2 linked regions of the Anolis sagrei genome follow. The protein of the gene in region 1 interacts with the protein of each later gene in a biochemical or structural test. Links are inferred from orthologs where the notes say so. Each region holds a gene or a part of one and is shown in the gene's direction. Other genes may lie near its edges.

Evidence for each region.
Region 2: the proteins of LRRK1 (region 1) and CLVS1 form a complex in vitro, tested with the Homo sapiens proteins (2 studies listed by BioGRID and IntAct, with this or other methods). The link is inferred for Anolis sagrei from reciprocal best matches to the Homo sapiens genes LRRK1 and CLVS1.

Annotation. Positions count from the first base shown.
Region 1 is NC_090029.1:13,127,597-13,134,979, reverse strand, and holds the start of LRRK1 (leucine-rich repeat serine/threonine-protein kinase 1), read left to right. Parts: upstream 1-4,363; 5' UTR 4,364-4,519; intron 4,520-7,383.
Region 2 is NC_090024.1:47,513,086-47,520,908, reverse strand, and holds the start of CLVS1 (clavesin-1), read left to right. Parts: upstream 1-4,816; 5' UTR 4,817-5,180; intron 5,181-7,823.

The DNA of each region.
Region 1 (7,383 bases):
ACCGACTCTTCCAAACACTTGACATGCATGATGTCTTTCAAACACTTGACATGCAGGAAAAACGAAATGCAAAGATACAGAATGGGGGACAATGCCTGGCTCGAGAGCAGTACGTGTGAAAAAGATCTTGGAGTCCTCGTGGACAACAAGTTAAACATGAGCCAACAATGTGATGTGGCGGCAAAAAAAGCCAATGGGATTTTGGCCTGCATCAATAGGAGCATAGTGTCTAGATCTAGGGAAGTCATGCTACCCATGCTCTATTCCGCTTTGGTTAGACCACATCTGGAATATTGTGTCCAATTCTGGGCACCACAATTCAAGAGAGATATTGACAAGCTGGAATGTGTCCAGAGGAGAGTGACTAAAATGATAAAAGGTCTGGAGAACAATCCCTATGAGGAGCGGCTTAAGGAGCTGGGCATGTTTAGCCTGAAGAAGAGAAGGCTGAGAGGGGATATGATAGCCATGTATAAATATGTGAGAGGAAGCCACAGGGATGAGGGAGCAAGCTTGTTTTCTGCTTCCCTGGAGACTAGGACGCGGAACAATGGCTTCAAACTACAAGAGAGGAGATTCCATCTGAACATGAGGAAGAACTTCCTGACTGTGAGAGCCGTTCAGCAGTGGAACTCTCTGCCCTGGAGTGTGGTGGAGGCTCCTTCTTTGGAGGCTTTTAAGCAGAGACTGGATGGCCATCTGTCAGGGGTGATTTGAATGCAATATTCCTGCTTCTTGGCAGGGGGTTGGACTGGATGGCCCATGAGGTCTCTTCCAACTCTTTGATTCTATGATTCTATGTTCAGTGGGATTTTTTTGTGTGTGTCAGAAGCGATTTGAGAAACCGAAAGTCGCTACTCGTATGAGGGAATTGGCCGTCTGCAAGGACGTTGCCTAGGGGACATTGCCTGGATGTTTTGATGTTTTACCATCCTTATGGGAGGCTATCTCATGTTCCCACATGGGGAGCTGGAGCTGACAGAAGGAGCTCATCCACGCTCTCCTCGGATTCGAACCTATGACCTGTCAGTCTTCACTTCTGTTGGCACAAGGGTTTAGAATCATAGAATCAAAGAGTTGGAAGAGACCTCATGGGCCATCCAGTCCAACCCCCTGCCAAGAAGCAGGAATATTGCATTCAAATCACCCCTGACAGATGGCCATCCAGCCCCTGTTTAAAAGCTTCCAAAGAAGGAGCCTCCACCACACTCCGGGGCAGAGAGTTCCACTGCTGAATGGCTCTCACAGTCAGGAAGTTCTTCCTCATGTTCAGATGGACTCTTATTTCTTGTAGTTTGAAGCCATTGTTCCGTGTCCTAGTCTGATTACTTTGCAACCAGTTCCTGTTCTGTTTTTGCAGCCCTTGAAATAATAATAATAACAAAAAACAGGATGTGTCTGTCCAGGTCTCATTTCAAAGGAGGTTTAAGTGTAATTTTGGGGAAAACCCGAAACTGTCTTTATGACATTTCCAGAGGCATTCGCAACAGGCTTTCCCCATTTTTATGCCATGAAAAGGAAGTAGTAGCAGACAAAGAGAATAAAGAAGAGAAGGAGGAGAAATACTGCATTTACTCCATTCGAATGCTCACCTTTTTTGGACTAAATTACCTTCCCAAAATTAGGGTGCACGTTAGATTCGTGGAATATGATGGATCCTGTTTTGGGTTTCAGGGTTTTGGAAATTGAGGTGTGCATTAGATTTGATGCTATATTGGACTTGAGTAAATGCAGTAATGGACAAGGAAGAACAGAAGGAAGAACAACTAGAAGTAGTGGAGGAGGGGGGTGAAGAGGAGGAGGAGGAGAAATAGTAGCAGTACTGGAGGAAGAAAAGAAAAAAGACCAGGCAGAAGTAGTAGGGAACAAGAGAAAAAACAAGTAGTAGCAAAGGAGTTAGTACTACTAGTAGTAGCCACTTTGAGACTTCTTTGGAAAGAAAAAGCAGTAGTAGACGAAAAGAATTAAAAGACAGAAGAATAAGTAGTAGTAGAGGAGAAAGATGTGGAAGAACAAATAGGAGTTAGTACCTACTAGTAATACAGGAAAAGGAACATGTATTAGTCATAGAGGAGGAGGAAGAAAAGAAATGAGAGCAGTAGTAAGGGAGAAAGGGGATAAGGAACTAGAGGAGAAACAGTAGTTATTGGAGGAGGGAAAGGAGGAAGACCAGGTAGCAGTAGTAGGGGAGCAGGAGGAAGAACAAGTAGTAGCAAAGGAGGTAGTACTAGTAGTAGTAGAAAAGGATGAGGAGGCAGAAGGCAAAGTAGAGGAGGAGAAAGAGGTGGAAGAAGTAGTAGTACGCTTGGTGGAAAGAAAAAGACAATGAGAGACAGGAAGAGGAAAAAGCTAGTAGCGGAAGGCAAAAGATGAGAGGTAGAACCTACTAGTAGTGCAGGAAGATGAAGACACATTCATCATGGCAGAGAAGAAAGAAGAAAAAGAATAAGAATAGTAGTAGTAAGGGAGGAGGGGATAAAGAAGAAGAGGAGAAATAGTAGTACTGGAGGAAGGAAAGGAGGAAGATTAGGTAGTAGTAGGGGAGCAGGAGAAAGAAGTCGTTACTACTAGTAGTAGAAAAAGATGAAGAGACAGAAGAACAAGTAGCAGTGATTAAAGAAGTTGGAAGAACTAGTACTGTAATAGTACTTTTGGTGGAAAGGAAAGAACAAGGAGGGGTTGAGAGACAGGAAGAAGAAACGCAAGTACCTGGATTTCAGGAAGGCCTTCGACAAGGTCCCCCATGACCTTCTGGCAAGGAAACTAGTCCAATGTGGGCTAGGCAAAACTACGGTGAGGTGGATCTGAAATTGGTTAAGTGGACGAACCCAGGGGGTGATTCTCCCCAATGCTTCCTCTTCATCCTGGAAAGAAGTGACAAGTGGAGTGCCATAAGCAAGGTTCTGTTCTGGGCCCGGTCCTGTTCAACATCTTTGTTAATGACTTAGATGAAGGGTTAGAAGGCAGGATCATCAAGTTTGCAAACGACACCAAATTGGGAGGGATAGCCAATACTCCAGAGGACAGGAGCAGGATTCAAAACGATCTTGACAGATTAGAGAGATGAATGCCCAAAACTAACAAAATGAAGTTCAACAGGGACAAATGCAAGATACTCCACTTAGGCAGGAAAAACGAAATGCAAAGATACAGAATAGGGGACGATGCCTGGCTCGAGAGCAGTACGTGTGAAAAAGATCTTGGAGTCTTTTTGGACAGCAAGTTAAACATGAGCCAACAATGTGATGTGGTGGCAAAAAAAGCCAATGGGATTTTGGCCTGCATCAATAGGAGCATAGTGTCTAGATCCAGGGAAGTCATGCTACCCCTCTATTCCGCCTTGGTTAGACCACACCTGGAATATTGTATCCAATTCTGGGCACCACAATTCAAGAGAGATATTGACAAGCTGGAATGTGTCCAGAGGAGGGCAACTATAATGATCAAGGGTCTAGAGAACAAGCCCTATGAGGAGCGGCTTAAGGAGCTGGGCATGTTTAGCCTGAAGAAGAGAAGGCTGAGAGGAGATATGATAGCCATGTATAAATATGTGAGAGGAAGCCACAGGGAGGAGGGAGCAAGCTTGTTTTCTGCTTCCCTGGAGACTAGGACACGGAACAATGGCTTCAAACTACAAGAGAGGAGATTCCATCTGAACATGAGGAAGAACTTCCTGACTGTGAGAGCCGCTCAGCAGTGGAACTCTCTGCCCTGGAGTGTGGTGGAGGCTCCTTCTTCGGAGGCTTTTAAACAGAGGCTGGATGGCCATCTGTCAGGGGTGCTTTGAATGCAATATTCCTGCTTCTTGGCAGAATAGGGTTGGACTCGATGGCCCATGAGGTCTCTTCCAACTCTAGGATTCTATGCTGGAAAGAATATCATATGAAAGCTGATGGGAACAACCTGGGGGTCACAACCAGACACAGTGAAGGCATCTGCCCTTTTGTTTGGCTACTCTGCTGCTGAATACGCATGCCCAGTGTGGAATATATCTGGATGGTCATCTGTCAGGGGTGATTTGAATGCAATATTCCTGCTTCTTGGTAGAATAGGGTTGGACTGGATGGCCCATGAGGTCTCTTCCAACTTTATGATTTTATGATTCTAAGTAGTAGTAGTGAAAGGCAAAGAAGAGAGATAGTACATAATAGTAGTGCGGGAAACGGTACTAATAGGGAAGAGAGAGAAGTAGTAACAGTGGAGGTGGAGAAGGGGAAGGAAGCAGGAAGAAGGAAAAGGAGATTAGAATTCGTCCAAAGGAGAGGAAGCACTACTAGCAGCAGCTTCTGAGCCACGAGCGCCGCGATTCCGCTTCTGGCCTCCAGAGGGAGCGCTCGAGCCGGCTCTTCCGCTTTGCTTGGGCCACCCCTTTCTTTCTTTCTTTCGTCCTTCCTTCCTTCTTTCCTTCCTCCTTCTTTTTTCCTCCTCCTTTCCTCCGAAGACAACCAACCGCACCTGGAACCCGGGAGCGGAGGGAAAGAAAACTCCCAGAAAAGCCACTTTTCCCGGTCCTGGCGGGGTGAGCATTAAGGATACAGTGTTGCAAAGTTTGCAAACTTCCCCTGTACTAGGTTGTTGTAGGTTTTTTCGAGCTATATGGCCATGTTCTAGAGGCATTCTCTCCTGACGTTTCGCCTGCATCTATGGCAAGCATTCTCAGAGGTAGTGAAGTCTGTTGGAACTAGGACAATGGGTTTATATATCTGTGGAATGACCAGGGTGGGACAAAAGACTCTTGTCTGCTGGAGCTAGGTGTGAATGTTTCAACTGACCACCTTGATTAGCATTTGATGGCCTGGCAGTGCCTGGAGCAATCTTTTGTTGAGAGGTGATTAGCTGTCCCTGATTGTTTTCCCTCTGTTGTTTTGCTGTTGTAATTTTAGAGTTTTTTTTTAATACTGGTAGCCAGATTTTGTTCATTTTCATGGTTTCCTCCTTTCTGTTGAAATTGTCCACATGCTTCTAGTGGATTTCAACGGCTTCTCTGTGCAGTCTGACAGGGTGGTTGTGAGAGTGGTCCAGCATTTCTGTGTTCTCAAATAATATGCTGTGTCCATTTTTTAACAATCAAACAAAACAAAACACAAAGTTTGCAAGCTTGGTAGTTGATTAAATGTCCTTTGACCAGTATCTGGCCACTTGGAGTGCCTCTGGTGTTGCCACAAGGAGGTCCTCCATAGTGCATGTGGCAGGGCTCAGGTTGCATTGCAGCAGGTGGTCAGTGGTTTGCTCTTCTCCACACTCGCATGTCGAGGATTCAACTTTGTGGCCCCATTTCTTGAGTTTGGCTCTGCATCTCGTGATGCCAGAGCGCAGTCTGTTCAGCGCCTTCCAAGTCGCCCAGTCTTCTGTGTGCCCAGGGGGGAGTCTCTCATTTGGTATCAGCCATTGGTTGAGGTTCTGGGTTTGAGCCTGCCACTTTTGGACTCTCGCTTGCTGAGGTGTTCCAGCGAGTGTCTCTGTAGATCTTAGAAAGATATTTCTTGATTTAAGTCATTGACGTGCTGACTGATACCCAAACAAGGGAAGAGCTGGAGATGTCACAGCCTTGGTCCTTTCACTATTTGCTGCTACTTCCCGGCGGATGTCAGGTGGTGCGATACCAGCTAAACAGTGTAATTTCTCCAGTGGTGTAGGGCGCAGACACCCCATGATAATGCAGCATGTCTCATTAACCGGAGTCAGTGCATGGAATATATGGATCAAGTCTCCAAAAGTTCCCCCCTCCAAAGTTCCCCCCTTCCATCTGAACATTAGGAAGAACTTCCTGACTGTGAGAGCCGTACAGCAGTGGAACTCTCTGCCCCGGAGTGTGGTGGAGGCTCCTTCTTTGGAAGCTTTTAAGCAGAGGCTGGATGGCCATTTGTCAGGGGTGATTTGAATGCAATATTCCTGCTTCTTGGCAGGGGGTTGGACTGGATGGCCCATGAGGTCTCTTCCAACTCTTTGATTCTATGAATGCGGGGTACCCCAAGGTGCAGTTCTCTCCCCTCTTCTTTTCAACATCTACGTTAGACTCCTTGCCAGTTTGGCTTGGAGATTTGGCTTGGACTGCTATCAATATGCGGATGACACCCAACTCCTGTTGCGCTTGGAGCCGGGAGCAACGACAATACCAGACAATTTCACCTTATGTCTGGAGGCTCTGTCGAACTGGCTACGTGCTAGTAGGCTGAAGGTGAACCCGGCAAAGACTGAGATTCTCTGGCATGGCCGCTCGATAGGTCTGACCCATTTGCTATCCACCTTTGATGGTGCTGCTCTATCTCCGCCTACCGTTAAGAGCCTAGGTGTCAGTTCTTGTGGGTTTTTTCGGGCTATATGGCTATATGCCTCTAGAACATGGCCATATAGCCCGAAAAAACCCCACAAGAACTGAGTTATTCCAGCCATGAAAGCCTTCGACAAGCCTAGGTGTCGTTTTGGATTCGCAGTTGACAATGGAAACTCAGGCCGCTGCTGCCAGCAAACAGGCCTTTTTCCATCTACGACAAGCGAGGCAATTGTTACCTTACCTATCGGATGAGGCGCTGGCAACAGTCGTCCATGCCACGGTCACATCTAAGCTGGACTATTGCAACGCCTTATATGTTGGCCTTCCGATGTCTACGACCCGAAAGCTCCATATTGTACAGAATGCTGAGGCCAGGTTAATCACAAAAATGCCTTTGAAATGTCATATAACTCCAGTGCTGCGGCATCTACATTGGCTTCCAATTGATTATCATGGTTTGTATAAGATGCTGGTCCTGACCTTTAAAACCTTATATGGCCAGGGTCCATTGTATCTTAGAGACCGTCTCTCCTTCTCCCATCATTGGAGGTTGCTACGACAATCTCAACGCGATTTGCTCTATATACCGGGTCCTAGAGAAGTGCATTTGGAAAGCACCAGACGCAGATGGGCTTTCTCCATTTCTGCCCCTGCCTTATGGAATTCCTTGCCACCCTATATGAGAGCCATGCGTCACTTAGGGCATTTTATCCTATCACTTAAGACCTGGCTTTTTACTAGAGCATTTGACTCATGTTAATTTATTAATATTTGTATGTATGTGTTTTATCCTGTATGTTGTTGTTGTTCATTCGTTCAGTCGTCTCCGACTCTTTGTGACCTCATGGACCAGCCCACGCCAGAGCTCCCTGTCGGCCGTCACCACCCCCAGCTCCTTCAAGGTCAGTCCAGTCACTTCAAGGATGCCATCCATCCATCTTGCCCTTGGTCGGCCCCTCTTCCTTTTACCTTCCACTTTCCCCAGCATCATTGTCTTCTCTAGGCTTTGCTGTCTCCTCCTTCAACTTTGTCTCTAGTCTCCTTCCCTCCAGTGAGCAGCCAGGCTTTATTTCCTGGAGGATGGACTGGTTGGATCTTCTCGCAGTCCA
Region 2 (7,823 bases), on another chromosome or scaffold:
TCTTTTAGGTTTTAGCACTGAGACTGAGGGGAGTCTAGGGAGTGAATAGCACAATTTTCCCCTGTTGTAGCTAGTGTCATCTTATCCTTTTTCCTCCACAAAGTTAATGTATCTACACTGTACAATCATAACAGTTTGAGACCACTTTCACAGCTATGGCTAATTGTTATGGGATTCAGGGATTTGATCTGTTTAGCAGAGAACTCGAGAGTAGCACCACTACACCATATTATAAACCCCAGGATTCCACAGGATGGCAGCATAGAAAGTAAAGGTTCCCCCCCCCCCAAATATTATTTTTTAAATAATAAGTTTCCCTCAACCAGGAGCTTTTTTACATTACATCGTTATAGTACAATCCTTTCACTTTAACTGCAATTACAACATTCTATGATATCCCGGCTTTTGCAGTTTGCAGAGATTGTATTTCGAATTCTCAGCCAGAGAGCTGTAGTGTCCTAGGCTTCTAGGATGCCATGAGACTTCAAATGGATTCATAGTGCTATAACTGAACAGTGTGGAAAGGCCATGGCAGTGTGGTCGTAGATGTTGAAATGCAGTCACTTCTTATGACATCCAGAGAGCTGTGTTGATTCACATCCACAAATCAATTCCTGCTGTTTCACCAATCTAGATCTCTGTGAAACTGTTTCCCTTTCATCCCACTGCTTTCCCACCCGTATGAGTTTCTGCCTAAATCTCCAATGTCATCAAAAATGAATTCTGCCAAAAATCTCACTGAAGTCACCAAGAGTCAGGATTTTCCCTTATCCTTCCTTCTCAGCAGGACACCCTGGTAGCACAGCCGGTTAAACCACTGAGCTGCTGAACTTGCTGATCAAAAGGTTGGCAGTTCGAATCCAGGGAGCGGGGTGAGCTCCCACTGTTTGGTCCAGCTTCTGCCAATCTAGGAGTTTGAAAACATGCAGATGTGAGATCAGTAGGTACTGCCTTGGCAGGAAGGTAATGGCACTCCATGCAGTCATGCTGGCCATATGAACTTGGAGATGTCTATGGACAACTCCAGTTCTTCGTCTTAAAAATTGAGATTAGCACCTCCCCTCGGAGTCATACACAACTAGACTTAATGTCAAGGGAAACATTTACCTTGACCTTTATCCTCCTCAGCAATGTAAGGGCTTCTTCCCATCCCACATGCTATTGTCACATAGAGATACCCTCAATACTCCTGTGTGGGATGATATGCAACTTTTACTCTCAGACACAAAATCTCTTTATTCACGGCTGCCTCCATAGACATAATGTCAAAATTGAATATTTATAATATATAGCAGTTGTAGAGAAATGAAAATACAAAAATATACTTTATTAACAAAATTCAAACATACAAAACATACCCATTTAAAAAATAATTTTAGAACATTATTCACAGTCTTGCACACATTCGAGTCCTAGCTAATTGACTCTTAAATGCCATTCATTAATTCCTAACCTGAATGACTGATTCTCTTAACCCTCATCCTCACTCATCCACTCATTTCTCTTCACCACAATTCTCTATTTAACTCTACTGTCTGCCATTATTCAAATTCCTCCAGACATTCCACAAATCATCATTCACTTCCAGTATTTCATTCTCATTCCCCCTCCTGCCAGCTTTTTACCTTAGTACCACAATATCGAACACATAAAACAGCATTTTCCATAAAAAGTCAGTGATATCATAATTTTATTTGCCCATTCACATGCAAGTCATGCATGACAACAAGGATAAATCATAAGAGTATATTGGAAAATCCTATCCATCCGCTGCCTGCAGCTTCTGCGAGGATAGCCACTAAACTCAAAGGAAGCAGGGAAGCCCGAGTAGGGTGGCAGCTCATGTCAATTACCCTGCTTCCCAAAAGCTTACAGAACCCTGAACCTACAACTTCAGGTTCTGCTACATCACCCTTTGTATCTAGTTGGGGCCCTTCCACACAGCCCTATATGCCAGAATATCAAGGGAGAAAATCCCACATTATCTGAGTGTGGACACAGATAACCCAGTTCAAAACAGATATTGTGGGATTTTCTGCCTTGAACCTTTCACTTCCACCTTTGCCATATTCTGGCTGTCATTTCTTTTGGCTTTGCCACCCCCACAAAAGAAATAACATTCCTCAATTTTCCCACTTCAGAAGGGGTACTATTGAAAGTTGCCATGGTTAGGAGCTCTTTTTGCCTAGATAGTATTATCTACCGACACAAAATCATTGCATGATAACCCAGAACAAGCCTAATAGCCTCCAAATGCCTTGAAAAATAACAAAAAAAAGAAGAAGAAGAAGAAGAAGCTAATAGCATTCCTCCAATGATGTAAAACAGAATTGGGCAAACTTCAGCCCTCCAGGTGTTTAGCACTTCAACTCCCACAATTCCTTAGGAATTGTGGAAGTTGGAGTCCAAAACACCCAGAGGGCTGAAGTTTGCCCATGCCTGGTGTAGAGGTACTATTGGTCAAGTAAAGAGCAAAACAAAATATTGGAACTCAAAATTTGCAGGACACTTGGTCCAGAAATAATATGTGAGGCCCACAAGCAACAATCGTCCACTATATTAAAATTATTTTAAAATTTAAAAAATGAATAAGTTTGGAAGACATGGAAGAATCTGATCCTGTGTTTTCAAACTACATCATAACATGCCATCTTTTACATTTCTTAAAAAAAAATATAACACACACAACTCAACACATTAATTTAAAACAGAATGCCTTGTCAAATGGAGCAGACTGTAGCAGTATGTTTAACTTCACTGATGAACAGTTAGCCATTGATTGCAAAAACTCTGGTAAGTATAGTTTTAAATCTAAACATTTGAAGGGAGTAATTGGAAAGGAAACAACTCCGAATGACAACTGTAGATTAGGGAAGAAGAATTCTCTGTTTAATTCATAATTGCTATTCCTCTGAGATGCTTGCAACATGCAATTCATGAATGAGCACTGAAAGATCTAGTAAGTAAATAGGTTTCTATTAACTGTGATATTTGCCCCTCAGATGTGTTGTCAGTCTGCTTTAGAAATGATGGACCTCAAGTAATATGAATGTACTATTGGAAAAGTTTTCACTAAGAGGAGAGGGGGATCTTTTACCTAGAAGTGTGCATAGCAGCGTAATTACCATTTCTTCTCATTGAAGAACTCCTCTATTTTAAAATTGCCATACACAGTTTACTTATTTTGTTTTTATCAACTACTGTACACCAAAGCAAATTGTGGTTCTTTTGTAGCCATGTTGCCTTTTGGATATTTTAGATCACAATTTTTATTATTTCCAGCCAGTGGTTTCCAACCTTTCGTTCTCCAGGTGTTTTGGATTTCAACTCCCAGAAATCCCAGCCATCTTACCAGTTGTTAGGAATTGTGAGAGCTGAAGTCCAAAACACCTGGAGGAACAAAGGTTGGGAACCACTGCTTCCAGTCATTGTCACCAATGATAAGGAATGATGGATAATACATGGTAAAACATCTGGAGGGCACCATGTTGGGGGATTTATTATTAATGTTTTTTATAATTATACTATATTTCTTCTTATGCAGGACCCAGGGTAGACCATACCCAAACAAATATGTTTATGCTCTTTTATCACCACTTTGGCTGTTCTCTGGCATTGAACCGGGACTAAGAACCTGTCAACCTGCAGGTCTTGAAAGCATTCAATTCCTCATCAGTGGTCAATATGGCAGTGACTGAAGAGAAATAGAATTAGACTGAGGCAGATGGGAATCAAGAATAGGAGAGCAGCAATTTTGATTCAGGCTAAGTTACAGCAAAAGTTGGCCTCCATAGTCTTTCAGATAATGTTAGGTTAATGTGTTGTCAAAGGCTTTAATGGCTGGACTCATTCGGTTGCTTGAGTTTTCTGGACTGTATGCCATGTTCCAGAAGTATTCTCTCCTGATGTTTCACCCATATCTATGGCAGCCATCCTCAGAGGTTGTGAGGTTTTTTGGAAACAAGGCAAGTGAGGTTTATATATCTGTGGAATGTCCAGGGTGGGAAAAAGAACTCTTGTCTGCTTGAGGCAAGTGTGAATGTTGCAGTTGATCACCTTGATTGGGGGAACCTTTGTTGGGAGGTCATTAACTGGCCCTGATTGTTTCCTTGCCTGGAAAGGATTCCCAACAAAGGATTTCCCCAGGCAGGAAGAGGCCAAGCCTTGAAGCAGCAAGGCTATTCAATGCTAATCAAGGCGATCAATTGCAGCATTCCCACTTGCCTCAAACAGGAGAGAATGCTTCTGGAACATGGCCATAAAACCCAGAAAACTCACAGAAACCCAATGTTGGATCATATCTCCCACAAGCCCTATCCAGCATAGCCAGTGATGAGGAATTATGGAAGTTGTCATTCCTCAAGGTCTGGAGTGCCACATGTCCACCCATCCCTAATAAAGAGTTAGTTGTACAAATTCTAGGTAGTCAGGTTAGTTTCTTTTCACTGGAAGACACTCTATGCAACATAAAGGTATTGGCAGGGGCGGCTCAACCCATTACGTGAAGTATAGTTGATTTTGCCCAGGGGGGCTCTTGAGGCACTCTTGGGGGGAAATAGACCTTGACATATGCGAGTTGTAGTTACTGGGATGTATAGTTCACCTACAATCAAAGTGCATTCTGAACTCCACCAATGATGGAATTGAACCAAATATGACACACAGAACTCCCACTGTGAACAGAAAATATATATCTGTGATTGGTGGGGGGGGGGGGGGGGGTGCCAAAATACTGTTTGCTTACCGAAAATTACATAGGGCCGCCTCTGGGTATTGGGGTGGGGTTTTATGTTCTGGCTGAGGCAGCTGCAAATGGTGAATGGCACGAGCTGTCTTGAGACATCTGCCAGGCACAGGAGGGGTCTCCGTGCCCTGGGTGCTGAAGGGGTGCCCTCCTGTTGCAGGAGCAGGGAAGGCCTTTAGGACCCGGGGGAGGCAGGCTCTGCGTGGCCGAGGCGCGTGCACCCAGCCGCACACACACCCGCGCGGTCCCTGCCCAAAAAAGCACAGCCTCCAGGAGCCCCGGCTCACTCCTTCGCCGCTCCTGGGGAAGAAGCTCTGGAGCTGAGGCGCACCGAGGAAGGCGACCTCTCCGCCTCCCTGAACCCCTCCATCTGCCTTTGAGGACAGCATCCCTGCGGAGGACCTCACCCGAGGCGGGGCTGCGCGGGGCTCCAAAGGTATTTGGGATGGGTCTTTTGTGTGCTTTGCCCAGGCTTCCCTCCTCCTCCTCCTCCTCCTCTTCCTCCTCCTCCCCGCCTCCGCCCTCGCCTCGCTCCCCTTGTATTTTTGTTGCAATGCCATGGCTGCGGCGTTTCAGCACCATCCTGCGCGGACAGCTCCCGCCTGCGATCCATCCGCCCTCGGCAGCATCCATCCCTTCTTCCTCCCCGCCTTGCCTTTATCCTTTCCTCCTATTGCAACATTTTCCTCCCATCTTTGCTCCAAACGAGCCTCTGGCGATTCTCAAAAGGAAAAGGAAGAAGGTGGCAGGGAGGGATCCGCACCAGTCCTCCAGAGTCTGGGATAAAAAGACGCAAGTTGGTGGCAAAAGGGAGTTCAGACCAAGGTTGCAACTGGGAAAAGGCTGGTGGGGATGGAGAGGGAGAGGAAAGGAGCGGAAGGGCATGATAGTCTCTCCCCAGATCTCCAGTTGTGGAGATCAGGGAGTCAAGGCTGGTAAAACAAACAAGCAACCCCCCCCCCCCCCCCAACATTGCCCTCTGCTTCCACCAGGCATATTAAACCCAAGGCTGGATGTGATGGAGAAAACAAACAGTGTCAATTGATTGTCGAAGGCTTTCATGGCCAGAATCACTGGGTTGTTGTGAGTTTTCCAAACTGTATGGCTATGTTCCAGCAGCATTCTCTCCTGACATTTTGCCTGCATCTATGGCAGGCATCCTCAGAGGTTGTGAGACCTCACAACCTCTGAGGATGCCTACCATAGATGCAGGCAAAATGTCAGGAGAGAATGCTGCTGGAACATAGCCATACAGCCCAGAAAACTCACAACCCAGGGTCAATTGAATTTTGCTTCTCAGTGGGAGATTGTCACTGTTAATATGGGACGAGGGGAGGAAAGACTCCCATCTTTCCATATCTGTTTTCTTTACTGCAGAAAGTAAAACATTGTTGATTTTTTTTTCTCACACACAAGCACACATACCCAAAATATATTGAAATAGTCTCTTGGCATAATTTCACAATACAGTTCCATTGCTGAAAATCCTTTCCAGTGTCTTGTGCCATGGGATGACTATTAAACTGGGGTGAAATTTAGGGTGGGGAGGAGAATAATATTAAAGTTACAGAGCAGATGGCGGGTCTTTGTTCATAAGTAGTCCGTGATTGGTTTATATTGGGAAGAAAAGAACAGATGAGATTGTAAAGGGGGGGGGGGGGGGGGGAGGTTTGTCTTGGACTTCCATCATATAATCAGAGGATAACACAGATTGTCCTGGTACACTGGAAGTGAGTGCATTGCCAACAAGTAAAATGACGTTATATAATAATATGATGTCATGCACCAAACAGCAAAGGTATGAGTTCTCTCTTCTGGGTGGTAACTGGTTTTTTGTTGCGGGAACAAAACAAAACAAGAAAAGCTTAGCCAATTTCCCTGCAACCATGTAACTTGCAGATGACAGGATTTTAGTTTAGTTTTAAGAATAAATGGTTTTGTCAGCTTTCCCCTTTCTTGTTGACTCTGCTTTGTGATCTTCACAGGGAATGTTTTAGAAACTAGATCAGTGGTTCTCAAACTTTGTAATGCCATGACCCGTTAATACAGTTCCTTATCTTGTGGTGACCCCCAACCATAACATTATTTTCATAGGTACTTCATACATTGTAATTTTGCTACTGTTGTGAATTGTAATATAAATATCTGATATGCAGAATGTATTTTCATTCACTGGACCAAATTTGACACAAATATCTGATACGTTCAAATTTGAATACTAGTGGGATTGAGAGGATTTTGTCATTTGGGAGTTGTAGTTGCTGGGATTTATAGTTCACCTACAATCAAAGAGCATTCTGAACTCCACCAACAATGGAATTGAACCAAACTTGGCACACAGAACTCCCATGACCAACAGAAAATACTGCAAGGGTTTGGTGGGCATCAACCTTGACTTTGGGAGTTGTAGTTCACCTACATCCAGAGAACACTGTGAACTCAAACAATGATGAATCTACATCAAACTTGGCATGAATACTTAATATGCCCAAATGTGAACACTTGGTGGAGTTTTGGGGAAATAGAGCTTGACATTTGGGAGTTGTAGTTGCTGGGATTTATAGTTCACCTAAAAGGAGCATTCTGAACCCTACCAATGATAGAATTGGGCCAAATTTCCCACACAGAACCCCCATGACCAACAGAAAATACTGTGTGTTTCTGATGGTCTTTGGTGACCCTTCTGACACCCATTCATGACCCCCCCCCCAGGAGTCCTGACCCCCAGGTTGAGAAACACTGGACTAGATCTTTCCAATTTTTTCCTGTTTTTCACAGAGACTTTTTCCTACAGTCTTTGTTAATCTATGGTGTCTAATGAAGTATCACAGTCAATAACTAGGAACTGCAGAATTGGGTCTGCAGGTCAATGGCTTACAGAGTGATAAATATTTGCAGGCAGTTTTCTTATGTAGTGTTAAACTGCCTGTTTAATTTAGCTCGGCAGATTACCAACTCCCTACAAGATAAAGAAACCTATTTTTCTTTTAAAAGCTTACCTAAGAGCTATGCTGAAACCAGTGGCCATTGTTTCTAAGCAAAACCTTGGCTATGGGACCAAGCTTTTGGACAGCAGCAG